4 linked regions of the Elephas maximus indicus genome follow. The protein of the gene in region 1 purifies or fractionates together with the protein of each later gene. This does not show direct contact. Links are inferred from orthologs where the notes say so. Each region holds a gene or a part of one and is shown in the gene's direction. Other genes may lie near its edges. The genes, in order: POLR3B, POLR3G, CRCP and POLR3F.

Region 1 (7,472 bases):
AAATGACCCTTCCAATGAGTCTTGCTATAAAGGAGAAGATAGAAATTGAACAGTAGTTGAAGGGAGAAACAGCATCAAGGTAATTGTTTTTTAAAATGGGAGAAATATCAACATGCTTGCATGGTTTGGGAAATATCAAGTATAGAAGGAAAATTGGTTGTTGCAGGAAGGTGAGAGACAGGCTGGAGGGGGTGATTGAGTGGGACAGAAGGGATCACGGAGCTGGGGGGACAAGGGCACAGACAGTTCACCGCAGTAACAGGAAGGAAGGAAGAGCACGCGGATACACACTTTTAGGTGGGTCACTTTTGGAAGGCATTTTCAGAAGTTCTCTTCTAATTCCTTCTATTTTCTTAGTGAAGTAAAAGAGGGAGCATAAAAAACCAAACCCATTGCCATTGAGTTGATTTGACAGGACAAAGTAGAACTGCCCCCATGGGGTTTCCAAGGCTGGAATCTTTACAGATTTCATTTTACTTGGATCCACAATCTACGCCCGTGGAAGCAGCACTCAAGAAATCAGATGACACATTGCATTGGACAAATCTACAAAAGACTTCTTAAAAGTGTTGAAAAGCAAAGATATCACTTTGAGGACTAAAGCGCACCTGACCCAAGCCGTGATATTTTCAATTGCCTCATATGCATGAGAAAGCTGGACAGTGAATAAGGAAGACTGAAGAATTGATGGTTTCGAATTATTGTGTTGGCAGAGAATGTTGAATATACCATAGACTACAAGAAGAATGAGCAAATCTGTCTTGGGAGAAGTACAGCCAGAATGTTTTTTGGAAGCAAGGATAGCAAGACTTTTTCTCACATACTTTGAACATGTTATCAGGAAGGGCCAGTCCCTAGAGAAGGACATCGTAATTGGTAGAGTGCCAGTGAAAAAGAGGAAAACCCTCAACGAGATGGACTGACATAGTGGTTGCAACAATGGGCTCAAGCATAACAACGATTGTGAGGATGGCACAGGGCTGGGCAGTATTTTGTTCTATTGTACATGGGGTCACTATGAGTTGGAACTGACTCAATGACACCTAACAACAACAACAAATCTTTATGGAAGCAGACTGCCACAGCTTTCTCCTATGGATCAAACCACCCACCTTTTAGTTACCAGCTGAGCTCTTAACCACTGTGCCAGCAGGGTCCTTGAGAGGGAGGACAGGGAAGGTTTAAGGCAAGTCTAGGTGAAGTGGAGAATGGACTAGAGAGACTATGTGACTGTACAGCAGCATTAGGGGTCTACATGATGTTAACCATTAACCAGTTGCCATAGAGTTGATTCTGCCTCATGGGGACCCTCTGTGTGTCGTAGTAGAACTGTGCTCCATAGGGTTTTCATTGGCTGATTTTTCCGAAACGGATTGCCAGGCTTTTCTTCCAAAGCACCTCAGGGTGGACTCGAACCTCCAACCTTTTGGTTAGTAGTCAAACTGATTGTACCAGCCAGGGACTCCTACATGAAATTAGTTGGCATGAATTTAAAGTGAAACCAGTTCAACATGGTTGCATTGCTCCCTCCTCATTCACTTGCATAGGTGCAGACGTGGAGCAGGCACAGGGTTGGCTTTAGTCAGGGCTGAGGTCTTGCTAAGCACGCAAGTGTGGTGTGGAAATGACAGAAGGCAACGTGTAGAGTGATGACTGAGCACTGATGACCGGCACCTCAGCAGATGCCATCATTATAGATGACGTGAAAGAAAATAGACCTGCCCTTCCTCATGCCCTCATCCTATGAAAACCCGCTGGAACTTAGATGGGACCCCAAATTAGAGGAGATCGTGTTTCTGCCTACTCAGGGGGAGGAGGGCTGAAAGTAGAAATTAGGGTCAGCTGTAGAAAAATAAAGTTGTACCTCTGTTTGGCACACTGGGGTTTGAGCTTCGAGATTATCCGCTATATGTATACTACCAGACGTCACGTTACATTAAATTTATTTTTGTCTTCCCACATGTTTGTGGATAAATGACTGGTTGAAATGCCCTTAAGATTTATTCAGGCAGAACCGGTTTTGTACAAATAACGTGTGTTTCAAGAAGAAAAAAATGCACATTATTAGACTATATATTTAGTTTTGATCAAAATTACATACTTCAGTATGAGTTACCTGGATTTTTTTAGCCAGGTATATTTTTTATATCCTCTAATTTTTTTTTCCTGATTAAAAAAATATATATAAAATGTTGACAATATACAAAAATGCAAAAAAGAAAATAATAAATAGAATCAGCCCTGAAGCTGCCAGTGATAGATAACCTGTATTAATATTTTGATGTGTTTACTCCCAATATTTTTTTTCTGTTCCTATCAAAGTGCCTTGAACTTAGTAGAAATCAATAAATACGTGTTGAACATCCATATTATAAAATTACTAACTTGAGTTCATCATGTACATCTATAATTTTTACTGTATTTTTCACTTGCCATTCTATTGATAATTTTTCCATGTATTAAAATTTTTTGCATCTTTTTTTTTAAACGGCAGTGGTTGCTGATTTCCCCCCACAAAAAGGAAAATAGCTTTATTTCAATGATAAAAATTACACATTTTCTGTAAAACATTTAAACAATACTGGAAACGGTAAAGAATAGCAAATCACACCAACCAGGGATAACCAGTTACAATCATTCCCTTTAACCCTCTGCACTGACGAATGCATGTAATGTACATAGGTGGGACATTATTCATGTAACATGTTTTTTCTCCATTCTCACTTATCAACAGGTGTGGCCATCTATGTCAAAAACAGAGATTTCTGCAATTACTTCAATGGATGTTTATCATTGCAGTGTATCAATGCATCATCATATCAGCTACTCAGCTGACATCTAGGTTGTTTCTTGTATTCTGCTTTTATAAAAAATGCTTCAGTTGGACGATCTTGTACATACATGTTTGTACAGATTTTCAGTAATCTCCTTAGAATAAATACCTGTAAGTGGAATTGCTGGGTCAAAGGAAAAAATACATATATACCTCTAGAAAGATTGTAGCATTACAGTAACAACATACTCTCCCTCCAGCAATGTAAGAGAGAGCCTGTTAGTCTACTTTCTGGATAACACTTGATAATGTAAATCTTATCTGTACCAATTTGGTGGATGAAAAATGATTTATTTTGTTTCCATTTGCATTATGAGGTTGAATATATTTTCATATTAGCCATTTGCTTGTTAGTATCTTTTGCCTAGTTTTTCCCCTGTGATTTTTTTCCCCCTATTGATTTGTATGAGCCAAGTGTAAATTAAAGGACACAGCAGTTAAGCACTTGGCTGCTATCCAAAAGGTTGGCAATTTGAACCCATCCAACAGCTCTGGCTTCGCAGGAGAAAGACCTAGTGATTTGCCTCTGTAAAGTACAACTGAGAAAACTTTAAGGAGCAGTTCTACTTTGTCACGTGGTGTCGCTATGAGTGGAAATTGATTCCACAGCACCTAACACCGACAACATTGTAAATTAGGAATACCAATTTTTGTCTTCTGCCAACTTGTTTTTAAAAATCTGTATTCATGATGATTTTTTAAACATTTGTACAGACAATTTTAAATTTTTCATGAAATTAAAAAATCATGTTTAGAATGATCTCTTATGCTAAACTCTACCATGATTTTCGTTCATGATTTCTGATTGTGTTGCCACCTTGTCAGCACCTGTTCACCACCTCAATGGTATGAATATATTCACCTGTATTTTCTTCTAAAGTTTTGCTAACATTTAAATACTTAATCCAGTAGGATTTACTTAGACGTATTTTTTTTCCCTAAAGGATAATCATTTGTTCCAACATCATTTATTGAATAAGCCATTTTTTTCATACTGTATTTATTGCTGGGTCTTCTGTCTAGTCCTTTGAGAATACTTATCACTGTGGTGTTACTCTCTAGTGTGTTCATTCCTCCTCCCTTCAAGGTCATTTCGGTGGTTATATAATAAATTACATGCACGTGCCATACTTTAATCCCTTATGAGGCGTTTGGGAAGTTTCCTATTTTTTCATAAAATGTATACAGTTTCAGATTGAATTAAATACATTTTCTGCCTCGTTGGCCTAAGATGCGCAAATTATCCGTTCACAATTTTCCTGGAATTATTTTAAAAATTACAACCAACACGTCTTACTGGCTTCAATTATTTTAATTGGCTATGAGCTCTTTGGAAAACCTGGTAGCATACTGGTTAAGAGCTATTTCTGCTAACCAAAAGGTCCGCAGTTCGAATCCGCCAGGGGCTCCTTGGAAACCGTATGGGGCAGATCTACTCTGTCCTATAGGGTCGCTGTGAGTCGCAAAGGGTTTGGGCTGGTTTTGGTATGAATTCTTTGGCAGGGGGTTGGGATTACCCCGGCAAGACCTCCGAGCTACACCAGAGGGCGCAGTTCTCCGGCTCCGCCTCAGCCACATCCGGGTTTCCGCAGAGGTTCGGGCAGGCAGCAGACGGAACCTTTCCGTTGTGTGCCTGATAAACCTGCCCGGCGGGATGATTTAGGTCTCCGCGCACAGCTCTCCACGGATGCTGCAATTTGCTTGGGGCAGCGAAGCCGGGCGTGAGGGTTCTGTCTGCTGCTTCCTTCATCGTGAGCAGAGTGGGCAGGATGGACGTGCTAGCGGAGGAGTTTGGGAACCTGACCCCGGAGCAGCTAGCAGCTCCGATCCCGACGGTGGAGGTGAGCCCCGGGCACGCGGGGAGCGGAAGGGACCGGGACGCGTCCTCAGGGGGCGTTGCCCCGAGAGCTCTCGCCGCAGAGGGCCACCAGCGGCTACTGCGCATGCTCACGGGTCCGCGCGTCCGGGTTCTTTCGCGTCGCGGCCGCCGCGTGCACGTGGAAGGGCTGAGCCGGGACGAGTCGTCCGCCGCTGTGGGGCCTGGGAAGGCTCGCGGGGGCCCTGAGGTGGACCCCTTCCCGGGCACTGTTCGTGTGTCTGGGAGGATTGGCCTTTGCACCCACGCGGGGGGACGTATTACACCTCCCCAGCCTCATGGAGAAGGAGCCAGGGCCCCGAGGAGCTTAGGTTCCGAGCTCGTTGTAGCAGTAAAACCAAATCCTGTCAGTCTCGGGCTGGGGATCTTTCCTTTTAGCCAGGAGTTCAAATGTGGGCTACTGAGATATTTTAAACGCCCCGAAAATTAATCCAGATTTTTGCCTATGTGTGCGTTTGTTTTTCTGGGGAGAAGCTCCGTAACTTTGATCAGATTCTCAGAAGTTGAGGGTAACCGGCCTGCAGTGAGCTGCCTAGTGAAGTTCAGCTACTGAAATAGTTTTATTATCTGGAAAGGCGCGTATTATATCTGGTTGGTATGGAATGGGAAGGTGGAGAAATGAGGCTGGAGAAGATAGGGGAGAGATTTCAGGTAGAGAGAATACTTGAACCCTTGTAGGCAAGACCATCCGATGTTTATGAAGAAAAAGACAGGAGCAGAGATGCGCTGGTGGAGCAGTGGTTAAACGCTCGGCTGCTAACTGAAAGGTTGGCAGTTCGAACCCACTGGGAGAAAGATATAGCTGTCTGCCCTCCTTAAAGATTTCAGCCTTGGAAACCCCGTGGGGCAGTTCCGTTCTGTCTTATAGGGTTGCTATAAGTCGGAATTGACTGACAACTTTTTTTTTTTAAAGAAATGAAAGATGGGTAGGTAATGAGCGCCATTATGAAAGCCTTTGTTAAACATATGAAGGAGCTTGAACATTCTCCTGGGGGCAGTGAGATGCGATTGAAGAGTTTAAGTAGGAGAGTGAAATGAACAACTAATGTATTAGATTGTAAGAACCTCCTTGTAATCATTTGGCAACTCTGTGAAGTCAATCAAATTCAGTCTATGAATGCCCGCCTTACACTGCTGATCACCAGGCAATGCTGGATTTTAACTCTTGAAGAGTTAGTATTAATAGCATTTACTGAGCACTTACTATGTGCTAGGCATTGTTTAAGCATAACATGTATTATGCTGTTTAATCCTTGGAAATAAGTAGTTTTCACCCCGATCTTGCCAATGAGGTTTTGAGGCCCAGAAAAGTTAAGTAACTAGCCTAGTGTCAGAATCTGGTAGGTGATTGATCCAGAATTTGGACTCAGGAAGTCTGACTCCAGAGTCTTCCTCCTTAACTACTGACTGGATGACTTCACCAGATAGCTGAAGAAGGAGGCCTGTTGTTGTTAGGTGCTGTCGATCAGTTCTGACTCAGCGACCCTGTGTATAACAGAACGAAACACTGCCCAGCTCTGTACCGTCTTCGTGATCATCATTATGCTTGAGCCCATTGTTACAGTAACTGTGTCAGTCCATCTCATTGAGGGTCTTCCACTTTTTTGTTGACCCTCTATTCTACCAAGCACGGTGTCTTTCTCCAGAGTCTGGTCCATCCTGACAACATGTCCAAAGTATGTGAGGTGAAGTCTTGCCATCCTCGCTTCTAATGAGCATTCTGGCTGTACTTCTTCCAAGACAGATTTGTTCATTCTTTTGGCAGTCCATGGTATATTTGATATTCTTCCCCAACACCGCAATTGAAAGGCAGCGATTCTTTGATCTTTTTTATTCATTGTCCAGCTTCACATGCATGTGAGGTGATCGAAAACACTGTGGCTTGGGTCAGGCGCACCTTAGTCCTTAAAGTGGCATCTTTGCTTTTTAACACTTTCAACAGGTCTCTTGCAGTGTATTTGCCCGATGCAATGTGTCCTTTGATTACTTGACTGCTGCATCCATGGGCGTTGATTGTGGATCTAAGTAAAATGAAATCCTTAACTACTTCAGTATTTTCTGTTTATCATGATGTTGCTTATTGGTCCAATTGTGAGGGTTTTCATTTTCTTTATGTTGAGGTGTAATCCATGGTGAAGGCTATAGTCTGATCCTCATCAGTAAGTGCGTTAAGTCCTCTTCACTTTGAGCAAGCAAGGTTGTGTCATCTGCATAACACAGGTGGTTAATGAATCTTCCTCCAATCCTGATGCCGTCAATATCTTGGGTTATTTGCTCAGCATACAGATTGAATAAGTATGGTGAAAGGATACAACCCTGACACACAACTTTCCTGACTTTAAACCAATCGGTATCTCCTTGTTCTGTTTGAACGACTGCCTCTTCGTCTAAGTACGTGTTCATCATGAGCACAATTAAGTGTTCAGGAATTCCTATTCTTCGAAATGTTGTTCATAATTTGTTCTGATCCACACAGTTGAGTGCCTTTGCATACTCAGGAAAACATCTTTCTGGTATTCTCTGCTTTCAACCATGATCCATCTAACATAAGCAATGATACCCCTTGTTTCACATCCTCTTCTGAATCTGACCTGAATTTCTGGCAGTTCCCTGTTGGTGTACTGCTGCAACTGCTTTTGATGATCTTCAGCAAATTTTACCTGTGTGTGATATTAATGATATTGTTTGATAATTTCTGCATTCAGTTGGATTACCTTTCCTTGGAATGGGTACACATATGGATCTCTTCCAGTTGGTTGGCCA
Region 2 (7,959 bases), on another chromosome or scaffold:
TAACAACTTCTTAAACGTCTTTCAACCAATTCTACTTATTTTAGTGTCCTTCCCTTTGCCTCAACTCAGCTACCTGGTACTGCAACTTCCTGATTTTTTGGGGCCTTTTTGGACTGGCTTTTGATTTCTCCTCGATAAAACTGCTAACTCACATCTGCTTTCTAGCATCCAAAATAGTTCTCTCGGTCAGTGTGGATTTATACTTAAAACAAGCCAAGTAAACAAAACACAGTTCCTTTATTAATGGTTGGTGGGATGTGGGAGGGAGCCAAATTAGATGTGCATTCTGGAATCTGTATTTTTTGTTTTTAACCTTCCAAAATCACCAATGAAAACCCCATGGATTACACTGGTTTGATCCACAACCAATTATGGAAATGACGTAGGACCAGGCAGTGTTTAGTTCCATTGCACATGGGGTCACCGTGAGTTGGGGCCAACTAAATGGCTGCTAACAACAAGTGATTTAAATCTACCGAGAACCACTCTCTAACACACAGAATATTTACAATTATTCTAATGTTGGTCTAGACAGTGTCTTGGTGACTCTGGGTAAATTGCATAGGCACATGAAACAGACAAAAACGCCTAGACTCTTCATGTCACTTTAATATTGTAAAAAATAGGTAAAATGATGTGTGCTCATTCAAGAGTGTGCCGTATAAGTCTAAGGTATATTGCTATTTTTTTTAGGAAGATACTAGTTCACTACTGTCATGGATTTAATTACGTCCACCCAAAAACGTGTGTATCAACTTGGTTAGGCCATGATTCCCAGTATCATGTAGCTGTCCTCCATTTTGCAACTGTAATTTTATGTTAAGAGGATTAGGGTGGGATTGTAACACCACTCTTACTCAGGTCACTTCCCTGATCCAATATAAAGGGAGTTTCCCTGGGGTGTGGGCTGTACCACCTTTTATGTCTAAGAGATAAAAGGAAAGAGAGCAAGCAGAGAGTTGGGGACCTCATACCATCAAGAAAGTAGCACCAGGAGCAAAGCACATCATTTGGGACCCGGGGTACCTGCGCCTGAGAAGTTCCTCGACCATGGGAAAATTGAGGACAAGGACCTTCTTTCAGAGCTGACAGGGAAAGGATGCCTTCCCCTGGAGCTAACGCCTTGAATTTAGACTTTTAGCCTACTTTACTGTGAGGAAATAAATTTCTCTTTGTTAAAGCCATCCACTTGTGGTATTTCTGTTATGGCAGCACTAGTTGACTAAGACAACTACTAACAAGGTGAGTTGTTTTTCTGACAAAAATAACGACTTTAGTGATATGGCTATTTTCTCCCTCGTACTCCTTGTAGCTACCTCGTTTACGAGACAACTTTTGGATCAGTGATACAGAATACAGATTTATCATTCCCCACGACAAACAGTGCACTAAATGAAAAGTAATTAAGGAAAAAAAAAAATGAATTCCATCTCCTTGTATTCTAACCAAAGCAATGAAGACCTTATCTTAAGAGCTCTTTGAGTACGAGTATGTAACTGTGTATGAACTTTTAATATAAATGTTTTATATCTCCTTCTAGGCATGTGGAGTCTGTTAATAACAAGTTAGCAGACCACATCATTTAGAAGATACAGGAAAGTAATATCCTAAGAAGAGAGGAAATCAGGTACTGCTTGAGAGGGTGAGGAAACCCTGGTGGCATAATGGTTAAGGGCTACGGCTGCTAACCAAAAGGTCAGCAGTTCGAATCCACCAGGCACTCCTTGGAAACTCTATGGGACAATTCTACTCTGTCCTGTAGGGTCACTATGAGTCAGAATCAACTCAATGGCAATGGGGGAGGAGTGTGTCAGAGAGTGAGGCTTCTGACTCCCAAAGAAAAACAACTTTTGATAACACAGTATTATCGTCTTGAAAGCGTTCGGTAAATATTAAGCTTTCTTTCACACTTTAAAAAGGCTTAAAGTGTCACACAAGTAGCTTGCAGTCTCTTTACACCTCCAAAACACTGATTATACCACGTACTGGGATTTTAGGTTCTAATGGGAACTAGGTTCTAGTTCCAACTCTTTCCCAAACTGGCTATGTGATCTCAGGCACAATAGTCAGGCCTGTTTTAAACTCTCTCTTCCTCTATAGGGGCCCTGGTGGCACAGTGGTTAAGAGCTCAGCTGCTAACTAAAAGGTCAACAGTTTGAATCTGCTAGCCGCTGCTTGGAAACCACATGGGGCAGCTCTATTCTGTCCTAGAGGGTTGCTATGACTCAGAACCATCTGGATGGCAACAGATTTTCTTCATCTATAAAACAATAATCCCTATCATTTTTTTATCCTTGATTTCCCATTGCTGGCATAGGATCAAAAGTAATCTTCAGAACAATTCAAATATATTTTAATACTAATGTAAATATTTTTTGTTGTGAGTGCCAGAACTGAGTCTGCATACCCATCAACTGTGCCGAAATCTTACCTCTGAAAGTATTAATTATATCGAGAAATACAAGAACCAAAAGTAAATTTAATGTAAATGTATTTCTCCTGTGCCTCATAATGTCAGGTAACATAAGATTCCCCCATCTAAATCAGTTCTTCGATGAAAAAACTTTTTAGTGGGGGAATGAGATGTTAATTTTCCTTTCTATTTTTTTAGCATCTGAGATGATCAAAACCCTGTCCATAAGATAAACTGGTTTTTGTGTTATTTCATTTTTTGTGATATTGTTTGGTCATAAAATGAGCTTTAGTACCTTACTGTACTTCAGCAGCTGGATTTTTTCTACCTCACACACCAAAACACCAAACCTGCTACTGTCAAGTTTATTTCGACTCATTAGTAACGATGGTGTCAAAGTGAAAAGAAAAGGTTTCGCATCCTACTCAGAATTATAATATTTCTGTGGTAGGATTTATGTATGTTCTGCACGCTTTCATCTATTGTACCTTGGTTCAAATCCTAGCTTTTGTCACTATTTTGTTTTGTGGATCTTAGGCAAGTCATTTTATTGGATGCCAGTGTTTTTCACTTCGAATATGTTAAGGATAAAATGAGATTAAAAAAAAAGTATTTAAAAATAAAAAAGGAAATTAATATGCCAGATATTGCTCCTGTGGCCAATTACCTCAAGTATTTAATTCCTGAGGGTGGGAACAGGTTGGGGCCTTACTGTGTTTTATTCCATGAGTTTTTCTCTGAATCCTATTCCGTCCTTCACAGAGCCAAAGAGAACTAGGACTATCTATGCATTAGGCTACATACTCCACCACCACCAGAAGCAATCTCCTTATTAATCCTTCTCGAATTTTGCTTTCGACCACAACAGATATCTATCTTAACACAAGACTCAAAGCATATTCTACCCTTATGTTTACAATCAAGCTTTTTCTCTAGTGAGGCAACAGCAAGATTAGAAATCTGGAAGGTAGGGTTGCATGATCAGATTGGAACCTCTGCACTCTGACAGCTTTCTAAGCCTACAGGTGGAAATTGCTCGTACTAGGTGGTGACCGAACAGATAAAGTCAGCGTTTCTCAAAAGCATAGAGCATGACACGCACTTTGTGAGGTGTCATTCGTTGGAAGTCTTCTAGCTACAAAAACACCCAGAAATGTCAGAAAGGTGCCTGGAAAAGGAATGGGAAAGCCTCAGTCACAAGTCCCCGTAGTCTTACCACTATTCATGACACAAGAAACTGACTAGGGGGTGGGATCGGTTTTCACCGCCCTTCTAGGAACCGCTTCAAGGGGCCAAAGCTGGTCTCAGGTAGGGAAGACTGTGATTGCCGTGGCTCTGGAAAGGTGGGCATTTACTCGGGGAAAGCTAAAACAGAAATGGCGTTTCTGTGGTGTGCTAAAACGAGCCCCCATTACAGCCATGCAGGTCTGCAACATGCATCCCTCGGACATCCCCTCTCTCAATTAGACAGCGCGCGCCCATGGGGGGACTCATTACCATCCTGCAGGATGAGGGTGGGCTGCACCGCCTGCACTCGGAACTGCCTGGCCCTCCAGCCAGGGCTGGGCGCTCGCACCACTTCGCTGTCGGACAGCCATGTCACCGTTTCAAAGTTGTCCCCGCGAGCCAGAGCCTCGGCCTCAGCGTGGTGCACAGCTACCCGGTCAAACTGGTAGAGGCCGCCGGAGTGGTCGAAGTGCACGTGTGTGGCCACCGCTAGCAGAGGCCGGCGTTCTGCTTCGTCCTTGGCCCCGCGGTCCTGCAGGAGGCCGGAGGAATACAGGTATTCAGGAAGACTGCGCAGCCCCAAGCCGGTGTCGATCACCACGTCCTGCTCCGAGCCGCGCACTAGCCAGATGTTGGCCCGGTTGCCCGACTCGTAGAAGCGTTCCTGAATCCAGAAGATACCGTCGCCCAGGGACTTGTGGGCATACCACTCGAGCGCCGACATCCTGGGCAGGGGTGCGGCCGGGCGAGGTAGGTGTGGGCGTGTGTACCTCCTGCACTGTGGCCAGACCCGCGACTCTGCGGCGGTTGTGGCGCTGTCTGCCCGCAGCCTGGGAGCAGGCGCAGAGCGAGGGGCGGAGGATGCAGGGAGGTGCAGGGGGAGAGGTAGGAGGAGGTGGGGCCCCTCCCGCCAGGTCAGCAGAGCGCGGGGGCAGCACTAGCCGCACTCGGGCGCAGGAGCAGTAGTAGCCTGTGCAACCGCAGCACGGGAGCCACTGCACAAGAGATACTTTCCCCACCCCGGGGGGTCTGACTGCAGAGACTGAGCTGTGGGAGGCTGCACCAGGCCTGTCCACCCCCAACGCGTCTCAATGCTCACTCTCATGCGGCACGGAGTCAGGCCAACCGGTTAGACGGCGACTACGGCGCCTGCCAAGGGCTAAAAAACTCTTGGCTCAGGGGGTGGGGCTTAGCTAAGGGGTGGGCGGGGCTAGTTGGTTGGAATCCTAACGCGGTTCCGGGGCCGCGTGGAGGGCGGAGCGCGCTTTTGCTAAAGTGGTACCAGCGGCCCGAAGGTTCGGCGCCCTCTGCTCGCACCCTTTCTTTGCCGGCCGGCACTTCTGCTGCATAGTTTTGCCAAAGCCACGAGCCTTAGTGACCAGGTAACGAAGCAAGCAATCGGGGCCTTTGGGCGAGCGTGAGGACCATAGTGGGGAGTTAAAGGGGCACGTGGAGTGGATGGGGGTAGTCAGGAGTACAGATTCTTTAAAGAGCCCTTGCTTTGAGGCGCATTGGGAGATAGCTTTACCTGTCCTTTTCCTACTCCCCTAAAAATCACATGAAATCGTCGTTTCCATATCTTACCTGGCCTGCATTTCCTGGGACTGTTTGCAGTGAGTTAGAAGGGAATTTGTTTTTATTAGTGGGAGGAGATGTACCAGATCCTGGGATTTGGCATATAATTTTTTTAGGCACTAGTCATTGCCGCAGACTTACAGCTGAGGACAGTGTTTTAACTGTTGATACTTTACCCCGTATCGTGGGACTCATAATAAGGTTTTTCTTTTCTAAAAAACGAAATTCTATATTTTTTCTCTCCCTCCTTTTATTTTATTTTTTGGCTAGTTTATCGGCACTTGGAAGAGAGCAGAGAAAGTTAGTATAAAGGTTCGATTAAGGAAAGGTGGAGGCAGCTTGTGAGGAAGGAAAAAGCATCTATTAACAGGGTGTGGCCTGCGAGCCACACAAATCACCTCCACTGTTCATGCCTGATCCCTATCCTATACCTCCCCACCCCCTGCACCCCGTCCTCCTCCAGCTATTAAACGTTCGTTTAGGCTTCAAAATTCCCGTGAGAACTTGACTGACCTCCCCATTCGGCAGCAGAAAAAAGTATTAAGGGACCCATGAGACAGCATTATAAAAGGTAATTATGAAAACCTTTTTGGCAACTGTACTAATAAGCCTCATGGAAAGAGAGGTTTACTCTCTTGCTTACCTTGTGAAGGTGCTTGGTGGGATGTGGCCTTTATGAAGATTTTGTTAATCAAGTTAGAGATTTATCCAGTCGCTCCTTTGGGGGCATTCATTTTGTTGTTGTGAAGAGAGTAAAACATACACCCATTCACCCGTTTCTACATGTACAATTAAGTGACATTATTACATTCTTCAAGTTGTGCAACCATTCTAACCGTCCTTTTCTGAGTTGTTCCTCCTCCATTAACATAAACTAACTGCCCTCTAACGTTGTTGTTGCTTTGATCCGGTATAGATCTTAAAAGAGCATAATGCTCAAGGCAGACATTTTTGACTAAGGTAAACTATTGTTTGGTTTTACGAAGATTTCAGGGGATATTTTTGGTTTAAGTTTTAAAATTATCTCAGGACAGTAGTTTTAGGGGTTCATCCAGCCCCTTTGGGGGCATTCTTATGTGTAAGTCCCTGAGCTAGATTCTGTGTGAAGAACAGAATTGTGTAAGAAAGATATGATCTGGGTACTTAAGAATTTGAGGGATGATGATATCAATATACAAATATTTGCAATACAATGCAGTGTGTGATATTTACCACAAAAAAACCCAAACCCATTGCCATGGAGTCAATTCTGACTCATAGAGACCTTAGTACAGGGTAGAACTGCCCCACAGTGTTTCTAGGCTGTGATTTTTTTTTTTTTTTTAATTTTTAATGTGCTTTAAGTGGAAGTTTACAAACCAAGCCAGTCTCTCATACAAAAATTTATATACCACTGCCGTCCTAGTTGCTCTCCCTCTAATGAGACAGCACAGTCCTTCCCTCTAGTCTCTATTTTCGTGTCCATTTGGCCAGATTCTGACCCCCCGTGCCCTCTCAACTCTTTTCCAGACAGGAGCTGCCCACATAGTCTCATGAGTCTACTTGAGCCAAGAAGCTCACTCTTCACCAGTATCATTTTCTGTTCCACAGTCCAGTCCAATCCCTATCTGAAGAGTTGGCTTTGGGAATGGTTCCTGTCTTGGGCTAACAGAAGGTCTGGGGACCATGACCTCTGGGGTCCTTCTAGTCTCAGATGGACCATTAAGCCTGGTGTTTTTATGAGTATTTGAGGTCTGCATCCCACTGCTCTCCTGCTCCCTCAGGGATTGACTGTTGTGTTCCCTGTCAGGGCAGTCATCGGTTGTAGCCAGGCACCATCTAGTTCTTCTGGTCTGAGGCTGATGTAGTCTCTGGTTTATGTGGCCCTTTCTGTCTCTTGGGCTCATAATTACCTTGTGTCTTTGGCGTTCTTCATTCTCCTTTGATCCAGGTGGGTTGAGAACAATTGATGCATCTTAGATGGCCGCTTGCTAGCTTTTAAGACCCCAGACACCACTCTCCAAAGTGGGATACCGAGTGTTTTCTTAATAGATTTTATTATGCCAATTGACTTAGATGTCCCCTGAAACCATGGTCCCCAAACCCCTGCCCCTGCTACACTGGCCTTCGAAGCATTCAGTTTATTAGGAAACTTATTTGTTTTTGGTTTAGTCCAATTGTGCTGACCTCTCCTGTATTGTGTGTTGTCTTAACGTAGGCCGTAAGTTTTACGGAAGAGATTAACACGTTTCTCTCATGGAGATGCTGGTGGGTTTGAACTGCTGATCATTTGGTTAGCAGTGGAGCGCTTAACCACAGCGCCCCCAGGGCTCCTTATATGTACCACAAACCTAACCCTGTTGCCGTCAAGTCAATTCTGATTCATAGCAACCCTAAAGGACAGAGTAGAACTGCCACATAGGGTTTCCAAGGAGCTCCAGGTGAATTCGAACTGCTGACCATTTGGTTAGCAGCCGTAGCTCTTAACCACTACACCACCAGAGTTTCCTATATGTACTACAGAGGAAGTAAAATTGAGGTGCTATAAGAGTACAGATGGAAGGGATTGTTGAGGAATGACATTGTTGAGAAGCTGCCTTAAAAGACAGTTATGTGTTAGGATATTCTTGGCAGGGAAATACAGTGCTTACTATAGTTTGGATATTTTTCCTCTAGGAAGTGAAATGGAGTGATATCCTTATTAGACCATGTGCTCAGCACTAATTCACCCAATATTTTATTGTACTTTTGCCAGGCTCTGGGTA
Region 3 (8,022 bases), on another chromosome or scaffold:
CATTCAAAACTGGCTGCAGCAGTATATCGACAGGGAACTGCCAGAAACTCAGGCCAGTTTCAGAAGAGGACATGGAACCAGGGATATCATTGCTGATGTCAGATGGATCCTGGCTGAAAGCAGAGAATACCAGAAGGATGTTTACCTGTGTTTTATTGACTATGCAAAGGCATTTGACTGTGTGGATCATAACAAACTATGGATAACACTGCGAAGAATGGGAATTCCAGAACACTTAATTGTGCTCATGAGGAAACTTTACATAGATCAAGAGGCAGTTGTTCGGACAGAACAAGGGGATACTGAGTGGTTTAAAGTCAGGAAAGGTGTGCGTCAGGGTTGTATTCTTTCACCATACCTATTCAATCTGTATGCTGAGCAAATAATACGAGAAGCTCGACTATATGAAGAAGAACGGGGCATCAAGATTGGAGGAAGACTCCTTAACAACCTTCGTTATGCAGATGACACAACCTTGCTTGCTGAAAGTGAAGAGTACCTGAAGCACTTAGTAATGAAGATCAAAGACCACAGCCTTCCGTGTGGATTACACCTCAACATAAAGAAAACAAAAATCCTCGCGACTGGATCAATGAGCAACATCATGATAAACGGACAAAAGATTGAAGTTGTCAAGTATTTCGTTTTACTTGGATCCACAATCAACAGCCATGGAAGCAGCAGTCAAGAAATCAAAAGACGCGTTGCATTGGGCAAATCTGCTGCAAAGGACCTCTTTAAAGTGTTGAAGAGCAAAGATGTCACCCTGAAGACTAAGGTGCGCCTGTCCCAAGCCATGGTATTTTCAATCACATCATATGCATGTGAAAGCTGGACAATGAATAAGGAACACAGAAGAAGAGTTGACGCTTTTGAATTGTGGTGTTGGAGAAGAATATTGAATATGCCATGGACTGCCCAAAGAATGAACAAATCTGTCTTGGAAGAAGTGCAGCCAGAATGCTCCTTAGAGGCAAGGATGGCGAGACTGTGTCTTACATACTTTGGAGATGTAGTCAGGAGGGATCAGTCCCTGGAGAAGGACATCATGCTTGGCAGAGTACAGTGTCAGCGGAAAAGAGGAAGACCCCTTAACGAGGTGTTTTGACACAGTGGCTGGAACAATGAGCTCAAGCATAACAATGATTGTAAGGATGGCTCAGGACTGGGCAGTGTTTCGTTCTGTTGTGCGTAGGGTCACTATGAGTCGGAACCGACTCGATGGCACCTAACAACAACAACGTTAACGGAAGGAGCCCCGGTGGCGCAGTGGTTAAGTGCTTGGCTGCTAACTGAAAGGTGGCTGCTGTTCATTGTGGATCCAAGTAAAATGAAATCCTCAACAACGTCAGTATTTTCTCCATTTATCATGATGTTGCTTATTGGTCCAGTTGTGAGGATTTTGTCTTCTTTATGTTGAGATGTAAGCCACACTGAAGCCTGTAGTCTTTCTTTTTTTTTTAATTGTAGTTTAAGTGAAAGTTTTCAGCTCAAGTTAGTTTCTCATACAAAAATTTATACACATTATTATTGACCCTAGTTGCTCTCCCTGTAATGTGACAGGACACTCCTCTTTTCCACCCTGTATTCTCGTGTCCATTCAACCAGCTCCTGTCCCTTTCTGCCTTCTCACCTCTCCTACGGAAAGGAGCTGCCCATTTTGTCTCATGTACCCACTTGAAATAAGAAGCACACTCTTCACGAGTATCATTTCATGTCTCATAGTCCAATTGAATCTTTGTCTGAAGAGTTGGCTTTGGGAATGGTTTTAGTTCTGGATTGACAAAGCATCCAGGGGCCATGTCTTCTGGGGTTCGTCCAGGCTTAGTCAGACCACTAAGTCTGGTCTTTTTACTAGAATTTGAGTTCTGCACTCCACTTTTCTCCTGTTCCGTTAGGGACTCTGTTGTGTTCCCTGTCAGGGCCATCGTTGGTGGTAGCCAGGCACCAACTAGTTCTTCTGGTCTCAGGCTGATGGAGTCTGTAGTTTATGTGGCCCTTTTTGTCTCTTGGGCTAGTATTTTCCTTGTGTCTTTGGTGTTATGCACTCTCCTTTGCTCCAGGTGGGTTGGGACCCATTGACGCATCTTAGATGGGCACTCGGTAGGTTTTAAGATCACAGATACTACTTACCAAAGTGGAATGCAGAATATTTTCTTGAAGACTGTAGTCTTTGATCTTCATCAGTAAGTGCTTCAAGTCCTCTTCATTTTCAGTAAGCAAGGTTGTATTATCTGCGTATCGCAGGTTGTTAATGAGCCTTTCTCTAATCCTGATGCCCCGTTATTCTTCATATAGTCCAGCTTCTCAGATTATTTGCTTAGCGTATAGATTGAATAAGGATGGTGAAAGGATACAACCCTGACGCATACGTTTCCTGACTTTAAACCACGCAGTATCTCCTTGTTCTTTTTGAACAACTGCCTCTTGATCCATGTACTGATTCCTCATAGGCACTATAAAGTGTTCTGGAATTCCCATTCTCCGCAATGTTATCCATAGTTTGTTAAGATCCACACAGTCGAATGCCTTTGTATAGTCAATAAAACATGGGTAAACATCTTCCTGGTGTTCTCTGCTTTCAACCAGGATCCATCTGACATCGGCAATGATATCCCTGGTTCCATGTCCTCTTCTGAATCTGGCTTGAATTTCTGGCAGTTCCCTGTTGATGTATCACATCACATACCGTACAATTCACCGACTTAAAGTGGAAAATTCAATGCTTTTAGTATATTCACTGAGTTGTGTAGCCATCACCACAATTCAATTTTGAAACATTTTCAACCCCCTAAAAGAAACCCCATGCCCATTAGCTGCCACTGTCTAATTCCCCTCCTCACCCCCAGCCATAAGCAACTCCTAATTTACTTTCCATCTTTCTTGGTTATCTAGTGCTGCTATAACAGAAATACCACGAGTGAGTATCTTTAACAAAGAGAGATTTATTCTCTCACAGTTTAGGAGGCTAGAAGTCTGAATTCATGGTGCCAGCTCCAGGGAAAGGCTTTCGCGCTCTGTCAACTCTAGGGGAAAGTCCTTGTCATCAATCTTCCCTGGTCTAAGAACTTCTCGGCACAGGAACCCCGGATCCAAAGGATGTGCTCTGCTCCTGGCACTACTTTCTTGATGCTATGAGGTCCCTCTGTCTTTCTGCTTTCTTCTCTCTCTTATATCTCAAAGAGAGTGACTCAAGATACAACCTAATCTTATAGATTGAGTCCTGCCTCATTAACATAACTGTCTCTAATCCTGCCTCATTAGTATCATAGAGGTAGGATTTACAACACATAGGAAAATCACATGAGATGACAAAATGCTGGACAATCACACAATACTGGGAAGTGGACACACATTTTGGGGGGACACAATTCGATCCATAACACTGTCTCTATAGATTTGACTATTTTGGACATTTCATAGAAATGACATCATACAATGACTTCTTTCCCTTAGCACAATGGTTTTGAGGGTCATTCACGTTATACCATGTGTCAGTAAGTACTTTATTCCAAATGGTATTATTTTATTGTATGAATATAGGACACTTTATCAATTCACCAGTCACTATTAACAATTTAATATGCCTCCTGTATTTGTTCAGATTGTGTGGTTTGAATCCCTACTGGACAAGTTTGGAGGTGAGAAACTTGGGTAAATAGTAATCTCTCCAAGCCTCTGCCTCAGTTTCCTCAATTGTAAAATGTGAATAATAATGAAACTGGGTTGGGTAGAGTGTCATGGGTGTACTTTTAAAATTTCTTGAGCTTTATATGGATTACCTAACAGATTTATGATTTACAGATTAGGTCATTGACGCTGGGAGAGGTTAAGTCCCCAAGGTCAAACATCCTCTAAGAAAGTTCTGGGGGTAAACAGGAACACGGGCTCTCTGACTGCAAAGCCCGCACCGTTAACTGGTAATTCCATGGAGTAACAAATTGTTTAGCAAGGGCCTTGCAAAGAGAATGAGCTTGAGAATCAATAAACGTGAAAGTATAAAAAAGGAACAAATCAGCAATTGACTCATCATCAGAAGGCACCTGCCATCATTAATATTTCAGATATTTCCTTCCAGTCTTTTAAAGAAATATTTCAAACATACGAAGATGATAATAGATATCCACCACAATCGCCATTTTTTTTAAAGTCATAAAATGTAATAAATCGGATAGCTCTACCTCCCATACCGTTAGGCATTTTTTTTTCCTATGCATAGAGGCACTCTGAAGATAGGCCTGGCAATCTACTTCTGAAAAATCAGCCGTTGAAAACTCTGTAGAGCACAGTTCTGCTCTGGCACAGGGGTCGTCACGAGTCAGAATCAAATTGACTGCAACTGCTTCGTTGGTTGGTTATTTTTCTGTAGATAATTAGAAGCACGCGTTGTTTTGTATGTTTTTCAATCCTACTTTGAGTATTTTCCTAGCATATCACATCTTTTACATGATTTTTCATGGCTGCATATATTGTATGGCTGTAACATAATTCAATCGATTCCCCATTATTGGGCATTTCGGTCATTTCCCAGCAAAAACATCACTACACATACATCTCTCTCTTTCAAGCATCTGATAATTCCCTTTGGAGAAATTCCCAGAAAGGCCCCACAGTCAGAGACTGTGGCTGGCTTTAAGGCTCTTCATATCTCTTGCCAGTAAACCCTCAAGGAAAAATGGGAACGGGTTGGGGGGGGGGGGGGCTGGGATTTTTTTTTTCCACTTTTAAAAAACATTTTATTCAATTGTAACACACGTACAGAAAACTGCACAGAAGTCTACGACTCCCTGAATTTTCAGACACTGAACGCATTCGCGTACCCAACACGCTGATTAAACAGATACTTTCCTGCTCCCTGAAGCCCCGCCCCATCACCGCCCCCTGAGGGCTCCCGGCGTGCAGCGCGGCGATCCCAGCATGCACCGCGACGCAGACCGGCGACAGGGGGTGCTCAGCGTGGAGAGCTGGAGTTGTGGCGGCTCAGGTTGAGGTTTTTAGTCACCTGGCGGCCGGAGGCGACGAGACGGGGACGACATGGAAGTGTAAGCCACCCGGGACGCGTTTTGGAGTCTGGAGCCGGCGCTAACAGCTAGGGGCGACTGGACCGTTGAAAGCCGAGAGACGGGAGGATGGGGCGACCCGTCGCATGGGGGAACCGCAGTCGGGGAGGGCCCGTGGGGTCCAGGTGGGCGCAGAAGAGAGAGACTCGTGCTTCCGTCCGAGCCTTTGTACCTGGGACACCGGGCCGAGCGCCCCTGGGCCCGGCTGCTTTTTCCTCTGTGCCTTCTCTCTGCCCCGTTCGTTTAAAAGCGTTTTCTGGGTCACAGTGGGAAACCCGGGCCGGTATCCGAGCGGGGACTCGGAGAGGAGTACACCCCTGGGAGTACCAGGAGGGGGGCGGAGAAGTGCTGGGATGGAAGTGCTCCTGCGGGCAGGAGGCCCCTGTGCCTTCCTAACTCGGGAGAGGTGCCATCCAAGTTTGACGAGCAGTTAGGGAGAGCGTGAGCCTCGACTGGAGAAACAGCCCTGTGTGGGGTTGTGTTTATTAAAAAAAATAAACAAAAAAACAAACCCATTGCTGTTGAGTGGATTCCGACTCATAGTGACCCTATAGGACAGGGTAGAACTGCCCCAAAGAGTTTACATCGAGCGCCTGGTGGATTCGAACTGCTGACCTTTTCGTTAATAGCCATAGCACTTGACCACCAGGCCACCAGGGTTTCTTGCGTGTTTACAGGACAGAGTAAAAGCTCTTCTAACAATTTAACTCGACGTTGTTTTTTCCATATTTGCCCATTGTACTACATGCAAATAGAAGTTTTTGTATCAACCCCGCGGATGGGTTTTTACGTGGTTGACGTTAACTTGAAGACATACCTATATTGTGTTCTCCGTAGCACTGATGGAAACCCTGGTGGCGTAGTGGTTAAGTGCTACGGCTGCTAACCAAGAGGTCGGCAGTTCCAATCCACCAGGCACTCCTTGCAAACTATGGAGCAGTTCTACTCTGTCCTGTAGGGTCGCTGTGAGTCGGAATTGACTCGATGGCAGTGGGTTTCGTTTGGGTTTTTGGTATAGCACTGATTATTTAATACACACATTTTATTTTGTGTTCTTTCATCTTATGTTTAATGGTTATATGCTGTGCAGACCTTTTTTTTTTTTAACCTTAACACATCTAAGCGTAATTGAAACAAAAGTTACATGAAACAATGTTTACTGTATGCAGTTCACTCTGATACTGTCTGTTCTGTTTCATTAAAAAGGATGTCCACATGACCTACTGTATTGATTTCACAACCCACAATGGGGTTCAATCTACACCTTGAAAAACACTAATTATGTATTATTCTGGTCCAAGCGGGCATCATCAATTTCTCCGTTTTTGCTAGAGCATTTCCTGTTAGCGTACAAACCTGTTTTAATTTATACATCTTGAAATACCTTGGAATAGTCCACTTTCAGGTCTCCACCTACTGCCTCATTTCTGCTTCCTGGCACAGCAGAACTTCTTGGAAGTGCTGTTTATCCTCACTCTCTAAGCCATTGAGTTGGACTTTCATCCTTTCCAGTGTGCAGAAGTGACTCTTGTGAAGATGACCTGAGTCTTCCTTCTGTCTTGTCAAATCCAAAGGTTGATTTTCTGGCTTCACCTTTCTTGATCTCTCAGCAGCAATTGCTATACTTACCTACTCATTTGTTCTGGAAACTCTTCATTGGCTTTATGGCATGCTCTCCTGGTTTTCGTCCTACATCAAGGACTACTACTCAGTCCTTTCCTGGAGCCACCTCTCCCTTGTTTGGTTCCTAAATGTTGAAGTTTCAGGGCTCAGTCCTGGGATGCATTCTCTCACACTCTCCCTTGGTCATCTTACCCACCTATATGCTGATTATTCTTAAAATTATGTTTCTAAGTTCTGTTCTCTCTCTTGAGCTCTAGGCTCCTGTTCTCTTCTACTTGCTTGACACCTCCACTTGGATGTCTAAAAGGCAACTCACACTTAGCAGTTTTAAAACAGAACTACTTATGCTCCCTTCCTGGTCCTTACCTAACCTAACCTGTATCTCAGTTATTAGGACCATTACCCATTCAATTGCTTAAACCAAAAATCTAGTCCCCTTTTCCTTCACCCCTAAATCCAGTCCATCATGGACTGTTACCTCCACCTTCAGAATACGTTTTGAATGTAGTTATTTTTCACCATCTCTGCTGCTAATTTTCTAGTCCTTCATCTCTTGTCTGGATTAAGCAACAGCATTTGGCTTCCCCTCTTGTCCACTTCCATTTCATTTGAAAGAACGATCTTAAAGTATTAGATTGTATCACCCCTTTTGTAAAACCCTTCATTTGCTTTCCATTGCACTTAGAGGAAATCCAAATTCCTTATTAGGATTACAGTGCAGTGAACTACTTAATATGGTCCGTTTAGGCATACTCTTTGTGATTCCCACACAATGATTGGGTGGGGCTATGCAAATAAGGTGCTTGTGGCCCACCAAGGGGATTGGGCAACTTGTAGCTAATGCAAATAAGGTACATGGCACCCTTGTGGGGATGGGGCCATGCAAATAACGTGTATGGAACCCTAATGAGGGGATTGGTCAGTTTTGCCATCCCATTAGGCTTAAAATGAGCTATCCCAGAGGCAGAAAAGGGAATCTCACTACTACCAAGAAAGAAAAGCTAGGAATGGAACTCATCCTTTGAACTCGGGATCCCTGCACTGAGAACCTCCTAGACCCAGGAGACAGAGAGCTGCAACACTGGAGATGGCAAGAGATGGCGGCAGCAGAACCAGGAGGCTGGCGCCAGAAGGCACAGTGAGCTTCTTGGCCCGTGGAGTAAGGCATTTGCGGCGGGTGTGCAGACACAGAGCCAGTGAGCTGAGCACCTTAAGACCAAAGCTTCCGGGCAGAGTAGGGTGTCTCTAGGAACTTATTGGCGGAGCTAGAGAACTTTGTAACACTTGCCCAAGCAGGGCAGAGGCCAGGCTGAGGGGCTGAAAGCCAGGGAGAGGCCTG
Region 4 (7,413 bases), on another chromosome or scaffold:
GCAAAGTAATAGGTTTTGTATACTTATATGTATTATTTTCACCGTAACCGATTCTCTTTAGAAATTCAGGTTTGCTGCCATCCAGGGTATAATATATGTTGACATCTGGGGTGTCTGAAAAATATAAAACAGGATAACTGTAATTGGTTCAAAAGTAGCCAGTCCCTGAGGTATGCCTATACGTCAGTTATTTATGGAAAATTTATACATCTATTATTTATATTATAAAAATGAGTAACAATAATTAAATTCTTCCTCTATTCCATGCATTGTACTTTGTTATGTTTTATTTGGACTTGGTAAATGATTCCTACATTTTTTGGGGAAAAATTTTAAAGATAATAAATTCATATGATTCAAATGATATCTTGAGTATCCCCAAGTGCGCATCAGTATATATGTACATATTCTTACTTCTCACTCTCTTTTTACACCAATTGTGGCACACCACATCCTGTTCCACACACTTCATTTTTCATTTTAGATTATACCTTGGATATTGTTCTATATGGGCACATAAAGGGCCTCCTCATGCTTTTGTATGGCTGCACCATATTCTCTTGTATGAAAGAACTATAAATTAATCAACCCTCATTTAGGCTTTCTTTTTCTTTTCTTTCTTCTGGCCATTACAAGAATTATAACGAATATCCTTGTAAAGAGCTCCTTTTGTAAGCACAGCTGTAAAACAAATATGCGGAAGTAGTACTGCAGGGTCCAAAGATATGTGCATTTGCAACTTTGATTAATATCACCAAACTGCCCTCCACTGAGGAGGAAACAATTACATTCCCACGGGAAATGCATGGAAGTGCCTGCTTACCCACAGTCCACCCAAATAGTGTTATCGATTTTTCTTTTTACCAATCTCCTAGGCAAACAACAAAAAGTAGTATCTTGTAGTTTTAACTCACAATTCTCGTATATTGAGTAAGATTCATTCATTCATTCAACAAATATTTGCTGAGTACCTAGTATGTGCCAGGCACCGTTCTAGGAGAGACACACAAACAATAAACCAACAAACAATGCATACTGTCAGGCGGTGAATAAATGCTATGAAGGAAGGTAAGGGGGACAAGGTCTACTCAGAAAGCAGGTGAAGAGATGTGTAGAAGTATCTTTTCATATGCTTAAGAGGCACCTATATGTTCTTTCCTATAAAATGTCTTTTCACATCCTTTGCCCATTTTCCTATTGGGTTATTCTTCTTTTTGTTATTGAATTGTGGAAATGTTTTGTTTATTAGAACTTTTCAATATTAGAACATTTGGATACCTTATCATTCTTATCATCATTTATCAACAACCACTCCACTTCTCCTAAGACTTACATGCATATATATTGAAGTTTTATTTTTGCTTGAGAATTTTAAAAAATCACATTAGCCTTTGAAATAAAGCCGGACATAGTATAATGTAGCATATTGTTAACTGCAACTCTAGGTCTAGGAAGCACAGGGCTTATAACATAAATACAGATAAAAAGTTTTTATATGTTTCAGCTATTAAAATATACAGTTGGAATTTCGAAGACTTTTTAATAAGGGCATTCGTCCACGTTTTATCTATAAAACTTTCCCTTTTCCTTATGTTAATTGTTTGTGTGTGCGTGTGCAGAAAGAGCCTGAAGACTAAATATTACCAGGAAATATATTTGCCACTTTATTTCTATAATAATATTTAAGATTTATTTTGGCATCACTACGTGCCAGGCCTTGTGCATCTCACGTATATTTCAACTCATTTAATCTTCACAGCAGCTCTAACTGGTAGATGTCATTATCCATATCTTACAGGGAAGAAGCTGAGACTGAGAATGGCTAAGTAATGTGTCTAAGGTCATTAGAAACTGTCATGCCAGGGGTCAGTCCCCAACATGTCTAAATTGCAAGCAGGTCAAATTTATTATTCTAGCAAAATAATGGGCATCCTGGGAAAGTTTGGGGTTCGACTGGGACATCTTACCTTAGCTGAGGTAAGCTGAGGCATAGCTGCAACATGTACTTACCCCAAAGAAAGGTTGGTCAAAGCCAACTATTTTAATCTAAGTATACATGACTCTATTAGCTATCAAAATATCACACTGTTCCAAATTTTGGAAGATTTACAAATTTCCCAAGGTACTGACTATAGAGAGCATGCAAAGAAGTAAGTGAAGAACCAGGTAAGTGTAAAGAGTATGACAATGTTATTTTAAATGATTTCAAATACATTTGATTCCTACCCGATTTCATTTCCAAAAGTGTATTGTTATCAATTTCATGTTTGGCTTTTCCGGGCGGAGGCACTCGCAGTGGTATGATCTGAGGGACACACACTGAACCAGCAGTCATTTTTTTCCTTACTTTAAAAAAAGAAAGTGGATAAAAGTAAATTCCAACGTGTATCTATATTTGAACAAAAAAGTGGAAGAAAAGCACTTCATTTAGAGTGCAGCATAACTAGTAACAAAAAAAAAAAAGAGAGAGAGAGAGAGAGAAACAGAGACTACTGTTAATACAAATATTGAACCAGTTGCCATCAGGTCAATTCCAAACCATGGGGACCCAGTGTGTGTCAGGGTAGAACTGTGCTCTACAGAGTTTTCAGAAGTAGACCACCAGGCCCTTCTTTGTCGAACCACCAGTCTTCAGTTAGCAGCTGAGGGATTTAACCATGTCTCTCCTACAAATATTAGTCAATTTTCAATTGAAGTAGTTATTACGCTTCAGCTGTATTTTTGCTGTTGAAGTCTTGTGTGGAGCTTTGATTATCTGAACACTCACCTCACTTCTGGGAAAAGAACACGAATCAACAGGACCGAGGGATGCGCAAATTAAAGGAATCAGGCAGAACAGAGACCATCACTAATGATCTGCCCTGAGTTCCCACTTGATCATCATCACCTGTTCCAGCCTCCTGTAAGTGTACAACCTCTCTCAGCTTTGGGACGAGTCATCACAGCAGAGGAACAGAAATTAAATCTGTATGTAGCACGAAATGTTAATTTAGAACCAACTCCTTGGGAAAAGCCAGGTCTTTAGCGCTACAGTTGTCACCACAGTGGTTCTTGCACTTCAAAGCTGTAAGGAAACTTTAGAAGGACTGTAGAGTATAAGCTGAAAGGAACTTGGCATGGATATTAACGGTTACCAACAAACACAATCTTCCATTCCGTCTATTGTACTAGCTACAAATATGGAAGCCTTACTGATCTTTTTCCTAGGGGAAAGTGTCATAATTTTTAAAAAATGAGGTTTCAGAAGATAAAACCAATCTCCATATCACAGCAACCATCTACAGCTATGCAATGCCTTCTGAAAATTCAATGATTGTGGCTACATCCAGATTACTTGATTATAATTTATATATTCGATTATAATCTATATATTCATTCAATTTTTACAGCCCACTTCTTGCACCCTCAGTTGATTATTCAGTTTTCTGTGTCCTTATGTAAACTTATTTATCAATTTGTGGTTAGGCATTTAGGCTATTTTTAGTTGCTTTTTACTTCTGGTGGTTGCGGAAGCTGCTCTGAATATCTTTGTAGCCCAAGTTTTGACACAGGCTCTATTACCAAAAGTGGGATAAATAAATTTAAGGGTGAACTTAATGCTCCAGGTTGGAGGCCAAGAATTTAAACCGCAGATATTGACAGCAGAGTAATAGTCCCTACAGAAGTGCTGCAGGGCTTGCGGGGCTTGCCCATCACCATATTTCCATTCAAGTAAGATGCAGTTAAAATAAAAATAGTTGAGAAATCAGTTCAAAATACAACTAGTTCGAGAGGAAGTCATTCGCGTGCCGCCACAGCAGCTGCCCTTGGGAGGCTGGGGCGCCCAGCAGGCCCCACGTGAAAGAGACCCAAAAGGACGCCGACCAGCGAAACCCAAACAGCAGCGCTGAGTCAACAGCACCCAACACCCAACTCCCTCGCCGCCCGGATCCAGTACCCTGCAAGGTCCCCGCCCCCGTCCGTCAGCTGCAGCCGAGGACGCCCGCATCCTTTCGGCGGGAGTGAGGAAGGTCCTCCTGCTCCTCCTCCTCCTCGGGCCACCCAGCCCCCGTTCGGGCCCCACCGAGGGACCTCCACCGCCCCCAGCCCGTCTCTGCTCTCTCACCTCCTCGCTCCCGCTCCGCGGCGGCGACCCGGGTTACCACCGACGCCGCAAGCCGCGCCCCGCCCACTGAGAGCGAGGCAGGTGATTGGCGGAAAGCTCGCTCCCTAGTAACCAGCTCCGCCCCCGCAGCGGGGCCTCCACGGGGTGCGCCCCTCCCGCGCCTTTGCCGGGGCTTTACTTAGGCGTCCGGGTATATGCCTTCACGGAGGCTGGAAAGTGCTAAAAGCTGATGTCGCCACGTAGAATGGAGGAACCAGTCTCGTTCGTCCGACAGGCATGACCATTCGGTAAAGCAAGCAGAGCGTAACAAACGTAGAGGCGCCGGCGAGCGAGGCGGCGCAGGCGTGACTTGGCCGCCTAAAGCCGACCGACGAGCAAGGACTGGCTGCGACACGAGGAAGAAGGCCCCTTGTCCCCCGGCGGGGAGCTGTCCACCGTCGGTCCCCGGGTTCGTGGGCGTTTTCTTCGGCGACTCAGTGCTCGTCTTCCCCGCACGGGCCCGGATCTGCTCCCTCATGGCTGAGGTGAAGGTGAAGGTGCAGCCGCCCGACGCGGATCCGGTCGAAATAGAAAACAGGTAAAGCAAGTCTAGGTTCCGGGATCCATGAGCACACGTGAAGGGGCTTGCGGGGGTCTGGACCCTCCCCTCCCGCCCCGGATACCAGAACTCTTAAGTTCAAAACGAGCTTGACAGCTTGCAACTCTGTGTAGCTGACTTTGCCCTGATGCTGTTTGCGAAGTTGGGATGATGCCTTCCTTCCTACGTTACGGTGATCAGTGCCAGAAAGGACACCCTCTGGGTTCGGCTGTAATGCTTGGGGATACGTGCACCGATCCAGGATCTGTCTTGTCACTAAGGGAACTCCCGGAGCAGAACGTTCGAGCGCAGCGAGGGCTGCACTTTGTGATTACTTCGGTGCGTTATTGAACTTAAGATCTCAGGACACCTAAAGTCTGTCCTAGTTTTACATTCTCTGGCAGCGCACTGCTGTTTTTAGATTTTATAGTTTCATAAGACCCTCAACTTTCCCAAACGGTTATATATAACACAGATGTGATGAGCCTGTGATGAAGTTAAGATTTGGGTTTACGTTTGTTTGGTAAGGATAATCCCCCAAATAGTTCACAGTTATGGTACGATGCCATAACAAGTTTTGGCTTCCCACCACAAGTGTCTGGAGTTGCCTTCTCTTTACAGGCTTATGGCTATCGAATGCACTACAACTTAATTTTGTCACAGTTATTCCATCTGAGAAAATTGAAGCCTCAGCTTTTTTTTCCCCCCGTGTTTTCATTTAACTTTCATTCTATTTTAAAGTTGAAATAAGTGAGGGAAAGAAGTACTCCCCTTAAACAACAACAATAATGTAAATGTGTATTTAGAAAGCATGTGTCTGAATTTCTTACATGATTTGATTTGGAATCATTATAGAAACAGATTATCTGCCAAAAGTGGGAAAAAAAAAAGGACAATTTCAAACCATCCTGCTTGTATTTCCCCTCCTGCCTCTTGAAACAGGCAAACATGCATAATATCATTAACGCCTTTGTTCCTAGGATTATAGAGTTATGTCACCAGTTCCCTCATGGAATCACAGACCAAGTAATTCAGAATGAAATGCCTCATATAGAAGCCCAGCAGCGGGCAGTGGCCATCAATAGACTGTTGTCCATGGTAAGATGAATTCAAACTCATGCATGTAATTACTTACCTGTCATGGTTGTCAATACTTCCTGTTATGTAGCCATAAAATCAGAAGGTGTGTTCGGTTGTAACTGATACAACTACAAACCGTAAAACAGCACAGGCTACCTAAAGTGAGGGAAGAAGAAATTATAGGTTATTTTTTGGGGAGGGGTTACAAGAGGAATGAAAATAAGTAGTACTTTGTTATTTTTTTTTTAACTATTGTATTTTTTAATCTAATCGTCACTAAGGTACATAAGGACGTGAAAGCATAATAGTCTGTGCTCACCTTCTGTCTGCTTCTTACTCCTATTGTTGGGCCCTTCCTTCCAGCTTTCACAGAGCCAGTTCATCAGGGTATCAATCTTACCCTGGGCATTTCAGGAAACAGAAATGAGCCCAGTTGCATCTCAGTAGTCTTGAGCCTTTGGAAAGAAGTGCTGCCTCAGGCTCCAGTGAGGTAGCAGAGGGTTGTTTCAGTAAAGCCCTTCTCCCTGCCCTTACCTCTTTTTCTGTCCTCCTTAAGAACCTGGGACCCTAATGCTGCTCTCCTCCAACTGTCCAGAATCACCCCACCTACTAGTACCCAGTGCTCTAAGTCTACCTGTTTCTTCTCCCATTTTTCTATCATCAAAACTCCCATTTCCTGCGAGCATTTTTATTGGATTTTTAAGGACTGTGGATATGGAGACAGGTGAGCCTTCTGTTAAATCAGTCCCTTCAACCTTCTACTTCAAGGGTGGACAAACTTTTTCTGTAAAGTGCCAGACAGTAAATATTTTAAACTCTGTGGGCCGTGTGGTTTCTGTCACAACTACTGATTCTATGGTTTTAGCAAGTAGCCATGGATAAATCATAAACAAATGCATATGGCAGTATCCCAGTTAAACTGTAATTACAAGTTCTAGCCCAAGGGAAGAGGAATGTTGGTATTTTTAGTCAATTCTCCATGAAGGTCTTCAGCTCCAGGAAAGGTAGAGGGAGAGCTTCTGGGAGGTTGTGGCAGTGGATGGGGGCTGCAGAGATGGCGAAAGACAGGAAGGTGCTAAGGATCATTCTCAGGAAGGAAAGAGCTGAGAGGGTGATCAAAGGACAAAAAGAACATTTCCCACTGCCACAACCTCCTCTAATTTCACAAGGGGGAAGGAGAATCAAGGTGTTGAGCCCAAGGCTGATTCTTATGAGGCAGAGGTCAGACATGTCTTCTGTCTCTGCCATCTTTGCCAATTGTGATACCAACTGTCCCTCCCACAGCACTTTTTACTTCTCTGCTGAGTTCAACAATTCATTGCGGTGGCCCACAGAACTCACAGATAATACTCAAAATTATGGGGTTTATTAAGGAAGTAACAGGTTACAATTCAGGTTCAGGAATGCTCAGAATACAGTTCTTTCATCAGGACAACGTTTTCTTAGCCATGCCCACAGGCACGCCTCTCTCTGGCCCCTCGGCCTCTGTTCTGCTCAGGCAAATGTTACAAAGCTCTTTTAGCTCTGCAGATAAGTGCACAAAGGCACCGCACTCTACCAGTAAGCCTCGGTCCAAAATCACTAGCTTCACTAAGTACCCAGAGGCACTCAGCTTTCTTGCTCCATGAGCTAGGAAGCCCACCATGCCTTC

Evidence for each region.
Region 2: the proteins of POLR3B (region 1) and POLR3G fractionate together in Homo sapiens (co-fractionation; 4 studies listed by BioGRID and IntAct, with this or other methods). This does not show direct contact. The link is inferred for Elephas maximus indicus from reciprocal best matches to the Homo sapiens genes POLR3B and POLR3G.
Region 3: the proteins of POLR3B (region 1) and CRCP purify together in Homo sapiens (affinity purification with mass spectrometry; 5 studies listed by BioGRID and IntAct, with this or other methods). This does not show direct contact. The link is inferred for Elephas maximus indicus from reciprocal best matches to the Homo sapiens genes POLR3B and CRCP.
Region 4: the proteins of POLR3B (region 1) and POLR3F fractionate together in Homo sapiens (co-fractionation; 4 studies listed by BioGRID and IntAct, with this or other methods). This does not show direct contact. The link is inferred for Elephas maximus indicus from reciprocal best matches to the Homo sapiens genes POLR3B and POLR3F.

What each region holds. Positions count from the first base shown.
Region 1 is NC_064822.1:173,470,254-173,477,725, forward strand, and holds the start of POLR3B (DNA-directed RNA polymerase III subunit RPC2), read left to right. Parts: upstream 1-4,417; 5' UTR 4,418-4,602; coding exon 4,603-4,674; intron 4,675-7,472. UniProt on the Homo sapiens protein: Catalytic core component of RNA polymerase III (Pol III), a DNA-dependent RNA polymerase which synthesizes small non-coding RNAs using the four ribonucleoside triphosphates as substrates.
Region 2 is NC_064820.1:97,121,434-97,129,392, forward strand, and holds the start of POLR3G (DNA-directed RNA polymerase III subunit RPC7), read left to right. Parts: upstream 1-4,868; 5' UTR 4,869-5,022; intron 5,023-5,033; exon of another isoform or gene 5,034-5,697; 5' UTR 5,698-5,786; intron 5,787-7,959. Other genes in the region: acyl-coenzyme A thioesterase MBLAC2, read right to left, coding at 3,911-4,364. UniProt on the Homo sapiens protein: DNA-dependent RNA polymerase catalyzes the transcription of DNA into RNA using the four ribonucleoside triphosphates as substrates.
Region 3 is NC_064830.1:103,355,660-103,363,681, forward strand, and holds the start of CRCP (DNA-directed RNA polymerase III subunit RPC9), read left to right. Parts: upstream 1-4,924; 5' UTR 4,925-5,034; coding exon 5,035-5,042; intron 5,043-8,022. UniProt on the Homo sapiens protein: DNA-dependent RNA polymerase catalyzes the transcription of DNA into RNA using the four ribonucleoside triphosphates as substrates.
Region 4 is NC_064843.1:59,142,155-59,149,567, forward strand, and holds the start of POLR3F (DNA-directed RNA polymerase III subunit RPC6), read left to right. Parts: upstream 1-4,393; 5' UTR 4,394-4,620; coding exon 4,621-4,682; exon of another isoform or gene 4,683-5,021; intron 5,022-5,662; coding exon 5,663-5,780; intron 5,781-7,413. Other genes in the region: DZANK1 (double zinc ribbon and ankyrin repeat-containing protein 1), read right to left, coding at 1-114, 2,227-2,335. UniProt on the Homo sapiens protein: DNA-dependent RNA polymerase catalyzes the transcription of DNA into RNA using the four ribonucleoside triphosphates as substrates.